2 linked regions of the Coturnix japonica genome follow. The protein of the gene in region 1 interacts with the protein of each later gene in a pairwise test. Links are inferred from orthologs where the notes say so. Each region holds a gene or a part of one and is shown in the gene's direction. Other genes may lie near its edges.

Evidence for each region.
Region 2: the proteins of CLIP4 (region 1) and JAKMIP2 interact in binary tests that used the Homo sapiens proteins (3 or more experiments, as listed by UniProt). The two-hybrid records come from large-scale screens. The link is inferred for Coturnix japonica from reciprocal best matches to the Homo sapiens genes CLIP4 and JAKMIP2.

What each region holds. Positions count from the first base shown.
Region 1 is NC_029518.1:10,058,623-10,062,436, reverse strand, and holds part of CLIP4 (CAP-Gly domain-containing linker protein 4), read left to right. Parts: 5' UTR 1-32; intron 33-561; 5' UTR 562-575; coding exon 576-708; intron 709-2,966; coding exon 2,967-3,109; intron 3,110-3,814.
Region 2 is NC_029528.1:182,889-187,269, forward strand, and holds the start of JAKMIP2 (janus kinase and microtubule-interacting protein 2), read left to right. Parts: upstream 1-1,417; 5' UTR 1,418-1,564; intron 1,565-4,381.

The sequences.
Region 1 (3,814 bases):
AACGACAGCTGGGTGGGTGCTCCAACACGGCGGTAAGTGTGCTATTTTAATACACAGAGAGGAGAAGCTGAGAAAGGAGATGATAGAGTCGTGCATCCAGGAGTGAATCACTCAGTGATTAATCTTGCTGCATAAAGCTGCATACAGTTCAAGTCATGAGAATTAGAAGGGGGAAAGCAGTGGCTGGGAGCATGTTCTTGCTGATAGTGTGAGATAAAGATGTATGTCAAGTGTGAGGTAAAGAATCTGCTGCTTCACCTTTTTGTGAAGTTGTAAAGCATGTAAATTAGTTATTTCTTGTAGTTCCTAATTACAGTGTAATTTTCACACTGCCTGAGTGGGAAACAGTGGTGAAATTTTATGCTCTTCGTTAATTACGTGTGAGTTTGGTGGTGAAATCAAATCTAGTAGCTGGGTATCCTTGACACCATCTCCACTCCTAAGAATGAATGCATTTTATTAGTTTGCTAGAAGGTGATATTTTTATGTTGCATTTTAGTGCAAATAGAACTAATCCAAAGAACTTCTATCAGTGCTGGTCTTTTTTCCCTCCATCTAAAGGAACTTTCTGGAAGATGACCATAGAGGGTATCCCAGAACCTTCCTTTGAAGGAGATTCTTTCCCTGCAAGAGATCAATTTCTGTTTCCAAGCTCTGAAACCTCTGTTACTTTTTCTGTTGCTGCAGCACCAATGCCTTCAGACTGCGGTACGTATGTTAACAGGATACGAGTTTGTGGTGAGCAGGGATTAAATTTGAGTGATAAATATTAAGAAAAACTACTGGTTCCTTACACTCTCATTTCAGAAAAAGAAAATACTGCTTAGTAAATACTGTAAATGGATTCTGTTATTTTAAAGGGAGATGAAAAATGAAAACTCATGCTTCTCTTATTTTTCTTATTGCATATACTTTTAATTCTTTTAACTTTTACTGTTTCTTCTCTATGTGTGGTTGGATGTTTGTAGGTCTAGGTGTAGAATTGGATATTGTATTGAGGTGCAAAATTGCATTAATTAAATTCAGCCCTAGTTGTGTGTGCATCACACTTTCCTCACTGGGCTTTCAGTACTTAAACTGAATGTTTCTGTTGGAAGGGTAGGATGTTTGTAGGGGTGAGGGCTGTGGAATGGCTGTTTACAGGAGACCATAGCACCTTCTGGTGACTGGCTTTTGGAAAAAAATGTCATTGTCTTCATGTGTTTTTAATAATTAGAACAAGAAATACAATAGATTGAAACGTCCTTTTGGCTAAGGATCTTCATAGGTAGCTACAATTGTAATGTTTTCAAAATGGCATTTGTGTACCTTAAAAAGTAAAGCTTTAAGGCATCTAGATGCTGTTATCATCATACTGTAGAACTTTTAAAAGATTTTTCTGGATCATGATGTTGGTTTCCTCTTGCAAGCACTGCAGCTGATTGGCTGTTAAGCACTTATGATGGTTGCTGTTGATATATTCTTACTCTTTTTTTGCATTGCAGGCTGTTAGATTTGATTACGGGTATGGTTTGGTTTGGGTTAGTAGCTGGGAAACTTGGCAGAATAAGCGTTTTGTATGTCACATAAGATGATTAATCTCGTTGGCTGGTCATGTTTCCTTCATAGCTTTCAGCATGAGATAACAGGTCTACACAGGAGCTAAATATTAAACAAGAAATCAGATCTGTGTCAATGCATAGGACATTAATTAAGAAGCATGCTTTCTGTAGTGTGGGGAATTTTATTTCATGAGAAGCCATAAAAAGTCATGGTAAATTGGTGACAGTGTCTTCCTTATTCATTCTTGCTGAATCAAGGAAGTGCTGTTAGGGGAGCACTAAGTACTCAGGAAGCGAGCTACATATGTGCTCTTATTTGTTAATCCAATCTAGAACTGTGGTGTGCTTTCTTTGAAGAAAGGTTAGGATGGTTCATCCAGAAGGTAGCTTACAATGTGTTGTATACCCAGTCCTATTTCTGGTCAGTGATACTGTGTGTTAATTACCCTTTGTTAGTTATCCATTCTGAGAGTGTTTTGTCTGTAGTTGGTGCAAGCTGATGTATGTTAACTTGAAACCTTTTTAGAAGGCAACTCTATGACAACTGCAGCAGGGATGAAAGTTCAGTGTTTTCCATTATTCTATCATTTGCCTATGATAGTAGGTTCTGCTTCCCTTCCTTCTCCCAGTAGCTACTGCTGTCCACATTCTTTCTGAGTTGGAAGAAATTCCATCAGTTTAAAACAGTACAGTTTGTGTATATGCATAGATATACACGTGTAAGTAATGCAAAATACCATACTTGAATAATAAGGTGTTTCTCATAGCTGAATTTTTGGGTTGCCTGAAGCAATGCGAGGCTTAAAATCTTAAAGGGCTTTTTTTGTTTTTCCTCTCACTTTGATTTGATAGCTTATTTTATTTGTTAACCTGTAGTTGCTATGTGGTGGGATGGATATGTTCATGACAGGAAAAAAATGGAGGCCACTAATGCCTTCCTAATTTGTGTGTGTATGTTTTGCTATGTTTTATGTGAATTGAGATGGAAGGAGAAGGAAAGATTCTTCCATATGCTGTAAAACATTGTGTGTATATTTCATCACTTACCATTGAGAGCCTGGCCTGTGCTTTAGGAGCAGCTTGATATCAGCAGCATTGCCTAGCTTGAAACAAGGCTGAGCCTTTATTGGCATAACCACTGCCCATCTCTGCTGGTCCTTGCCTAAACTTATCATCAACCTTGTAGTACCATTGTACTTGGTCCCAGTTCAAAACTTTTTTTGGCTGATAAGCAAGACTTGAGTATAAATAGACCAGACATTAAAGAACCTTATCTGAATTAATCAGACATTCTAATTTTCTAGTGGTTATTATTGAAGTAACATCTCTTGTGTTCTTTGCCTCTGAGACTGAAAACTATACATATTCTTGGAGAATATTAGAACTTGTACATAAACCCTTTTTTATATTTGCTTTTTTTTAAAGCAGAGTTTTCCTTCTTCGATCCCAATGATGCTGCGTGCCAGGAGATACTGTTCAACCCCAAAACGTCTGTTTCTGAATTGTTTGCTATCTTAAGGCAGTGGGTTCCACAAGTCCAGCAGAACATTGATATTATTGGCAACGAGGTGAGGTATAAATGAAAGTCAAGCATTAAACATACACTTTAGTGACATGCATTTATAACAGCTCATTCAAAAGCAGGACTGTTCCTAAATGCCTTGTCATAGTTACTGGCTAGTGCATTGTGTGGCTGTTTTCAGTTGGAAAGAAGGAAAGGATTGGTTGATAATTTAGCATGTTTGGATAGATGGTAGAAAATGAATGTTTCTTCTCAAAATGGTTATTACTTAGAGGCCTTCAACCTTGGTGCTTCTTTTTCTTATTTAAGAGTAATCAAAAAATTGATACGTGAAGTTTCACTGAAGCCTGACCTTAAGGGCAATGTTTCCGAGGCCAAAATGAGGTAGAATCCAAAATATTTCTGAGACTTGCAATAGGCTGCTTTCATAGGACCTGCTGTTTATATTCTATCCTACATTCATATTTTTCTTCTGGATTATAGGCTTTAATGTGGGTAGGTGGGAAGGCATGGAAAAATTCTTCCTACCATAATATAACAAGTTTTCTAGGGGAGAAAGAAGTATTGAGAAGCCAAGTAACAGGAAGGAGAAACTTCTTAGATGCAGTAGTTTTCCTGTTGTTCAGTAAAATGGTTAACTTTCCAGCACGTGTCATATATATCATTAGTAATAGTATAAGAAAATGTTACAAGTGTTAAATAATGAAAGTTATCAATGTTCAAATAATGCTGTCTTTTGTATTTCTGCACA
Region 2 (4,381 bases), on another chromosome or scaffold:
ACAGTAGAGGTATATGCAGCCACGTGGCAGTTACAGCAGCCTGTCCCATCCAGGCTTGTTTGTGGTGCCACTACCTGTCCATCTGGGCTGGTGCAGGATGGTGTTCACCCTGTCTGGGAGCTGGCAGGTAGAGGTCTGCATAGGGGCTGCCTCACAGTGCCTGCAGGTCAGCCTGGCTCAGTTTCAGGCTCTGGGAAAAGGTGCCAGCCTGTAGTGCTGCCCAGGGGCTGCTCTCTCCAGCCAGTGGAGGAGAAGGCCCTTCTTGCATGTCTCAGACAGATCTTAAATTCTGTGCCGTGGTAATGTGTGAATTATGACACTTTCATGTTGTCTCTATTTCTCTTAGTGGACAATGTCTCAGAAGATTCAGCTGTCCTTTGCTAGCTTGTGAATCCTAATTACAAACAGCTCTTAACATTTGGGGAGTCAGTGAGTAGGTAACGATATTCTATGCTAGTGTCAGTTCTGTTTGTCAAAAGAGTGACCTGGAATAGTAAGTACTGCTGCTGTTAAGGTGTCAGTACACAGTACAGTAGCACAGAAGAGTACAAATCCAGAAATCACCGATCTCTGTTTCTTGAAAAGGTTTGTTTCCCGCTGTGTTGCCATGCTTAGCAAAAACCAACACCTGGTAACAACAAAAAAACAAAATTTTTGGTCTTTGGTTCATGAACAGAAGAGTTTGCTTTTGCAAGACAAACTCCTTACCTGAAGAGGTTTAGCAGTTGTGTTTATCTCCTTTGTAAAGAGGTAAATGGAGTGGTTTGTGTGTTTATGGGCTGCAGCACCACCTCTGGTGTCAGGAAGAACAGAGATGAGGATGCTTTTGAAGCATCTGAGCGTGGTTTACTGTGGCCATTGCTTTCATAGCTCTTACTGGGGGTTGGTTTACACCTAAGAAGCCGTAGCGTACTGCAGGTTATTCGGATCTAGGGATGGTGGTTCCTTCTGCGTCTGTCTGGGATTGAAGGATTTTAAGGATGCCTGTTTAAGGATGCCTGACCATAAAAGGTCCGCGCCCTCCGGGCCGGCTGCTCGTTCCTTTCGGACGGGCTTCCAGCCGCGGGCAGCCGTTCCACGTGAAGGCTCACTGCGTCCTGCTGCAGAAGCGTTCCTCTCACCAGCTGCGACCGGCGCGTCGCGGCTCCGCCCTGCTGAGGGGCTCCGCTGGGGCGGCCCTCGCCCTCTGGGGTCCCCGTTTCCGCGCCCCACCGCTGGTGCGGGGCCGCTCGGGTACGACGGGCTCTGCGGCAGTTCCCCCGCAGCTCCGCTACCGGCCGGCGGCCCCGCGCCCTATCCGCCGTGGCGTTGCTATGGCTGCGGCCGCGCGGCGCTGCGGTGGCGGTAGCATCGGCGGTGGCGGGGCGGCGCCTGCCGCAGACCCCGGCCCGGCAGCGCAGGCCTCCGCCGCGGGGAGGCGGCGGGGCGGACGCCCGCCCTCAGCGTCGGCGCGCAGGGGGCCGGCAGCGGCCGGGGCTGGGCGCTGGAGCCGCCGCGGCAGCAGAAAGATGGATGCGCCGCAGCCGTCCTTCGCCGCTCAGCATCCTCCCCTGTCCGCGGCACGGTAAGAGGCGGGGGCTGCCGGAACAATGACGGTGACGGTTGCGGGGATCATCGGGGATCAGGGCCGGGGCGGCGGCGGCGAGGAGAGCGAGCGGTGGTACTGAGATGGAGGCCGAGGAGATGCAGAGAAAGCTGATGGGAACGAGGAGTCAGGGATGCAGGTGATGATGGCGGTGGAGGGAGAGGTGTGGCAAGGATGCAGCCTGCAGCCGGAACCCGCCTTAGCCTCCCTCCTGCACCATTGTGCTCCAGTTTTGTCATTGTCTCGACTTCCTCGCTACGGAACGCAGCGTGCGGGCTGTGAATTGCTGCCCGCCGCCGATGGAATTTTTACACGACTGAATCTGATGCGTGCAGAGGCGCAGCCGGCAGAGCCTGGGATGGGCCGCGGTGAGATGGCACTCGGAGCTGGGCGCTGGCGCAGCTGAGCAGGAGCAGCTGTGAAGGGTTTATTTTTACTTGTGGAGCATCTTTGCCTGTTCAGCATTGCACAAGGTTTATTTCTGTGCGTCTTCTTTTGGAAATTCATTTGTAAATGTCTCAGAGTTGGTGGATTTGTGTGTGTGTGTGAATGCACACTGCCTTGCTTAGAGACCCCACGAGCTTCACCCCTTTGTACAGGCAACACTTTTATTATGATTTTTTTATTATTTGACAGCCATTAGCTGATGAAACATGCAGTTTATTCTTAGATCTTGGAATTGCTGCCCGTCAGCTTCATGATGGCTGCTTAGGACAGGTCTGCATCATGCATTGGGGCACTGAACAGTCATTTGTAGACTGTCTGTTTTCTTTTCTGAATGTACGTATAAAAAAGATGCTGAGCATGCCAGGTAGGTTGGGAACATTGAGATGTGTGTATTTAAAAAATGTAATTTGAACTCTTGTAAGGAAAAAAGTAATGACATGTATTGTTAAGACCTTTGCATTCTGCGCCTGCTCTGTGCATTACAGTAAGGTGACATGTTGGGATCTTATTCTCAGCATCTTCCATCTGTTGGGTCAAATTCTGCATGTGTGCATATACCATGCCCTGCTTAGTAATTTGGGCTTTCTGTGCCCAGTCTCCTCAGCAGAGTGTTTGATAACCTTGTCCTTGTAATATTTTGGCAGGTTTTGACAAATTCTCCTGCTAGCCATTTCCAAGTTTGCCTTATGAATGAGAGCCTCTGTGTTCCTGCTTACTGGGAAATGAGCACAAAGTACAGCTGAAACGTGGTGGTCTGTTAAGGAGAAAGCTGGCTGTTGCCCTTTGTAAAAGTATGGTGGAGTCTGTGAGACTTTTTATTGTCAAGGTGTGTAAGTTGCTGGAACGGTGCTGCAAAATTTCTCTGTTATTATGAAGGAAAAGTGAGCTCAGGGTGTTCAAGTCAGGAAAATACTGTGAAACACAACTGTCAGGACAGTGCCCAGAATAATTCTCAGTTTTGTTTTCTATTCATCCAGTTGACACTACTGATACTGTGGTTTAAATATTGTAAAATAATAGCCCTCCAACTTGTAAAGGAAGGTATGGTCATGGATTCTGCTGTCATAATAATGGTGTAGGTCAGGCGTTGTTGAACGCCAAGTAGTTTGTAAATCACAACTTTCTTCTTTTTCTTTTTTACTTTCTTTCTAAATGAACTTTGGGACTGACCATGCTGTGAACTCATCTTTCACTACTGACCGCTGCTGTTTTGCACTGTGGTCAGTATTTATGCTTTCTATTTTCTGTGTGAAGTTGTGAGACAGCAAAATAAGGATTATCACCTACCTGAAATTTGGATCACTCTGTCATGCTCTGTATCTTTTTCATTCAGCCAAATTCCTCTACAACCCCTATGCATTGTGGCAGTTCAATATTTGGGTCACTGCAAAGTAAATGATTAGAATAAAATAATTACTTTAATTGATTTTACGATGGTATGTTTGCAGTGCATGTTTCTAAAACAACAGCCTGCTCTAATTCCCAGGCTGGAACCTTTTCAAAGTTCCTATATAAGTCTGTATCACATTTCAAGATCTGCTCTTGACTGGATTATTTCCCATCTTCAGAGACTGATTCTCTGCTGCCTTCTTTTTAGTCATCATTTACATCTGTGCAGGGCATCAATGTGACTCTGCCATCAGCTTTCAAGATCTGGAATCTTTATTTCTTGTTTTTATATCTTTAAAGGTCTATTTGAATTTTTCCTTTAAAACATCAGGACTGAAAATCCTCAGTACCCTCCCCCACTCCCCTCCGTTCTAATCTCTTTGCTCCAGGAGTTGGGGATCTGTATAGAAAGTTTATCAGCATGTTGCTGACATCAAGTTGCAATGAGTATATTTAGCAACTCTTTTGTAAATGATGGAGAAGCTGCAGTTTGCACTGTGAAGTATCCAGTGAACATGAAAGGAAAAAATAATGATATGCAAGTGCTTTTCTGGATGCAGGCTTTCAGTTTGGATCACAGTGGGTTGCTGACAAACTGTGGCACATCCTGGAACCTTAGGGCCTGTGTGGGTTGTTTTTTTTTCCTGGAAGATCACATTTGGACATTGCAGCCACTTCCTTTCACTACTGTCAGAATAAAAGCAAAGTGAACTGAATGATGTGCCCATCTACCCAGCACAGTTACATGAGAAAGAGGCAAATGAATGCAGAAAGTATTTCAGTACGTGACTACACTATGAGAATCCTGTCAGTGAACTGTGCAACAGCAGCCAACAAATAATAAATACAACTGAAGAGCTGATACTCCACAATTCTATTTCTAACTTCAGATGAAATATAATTCTGTGATGAACAATAAAACAATAATTAAATTTATCTTTATAAAATACAACTAAATGT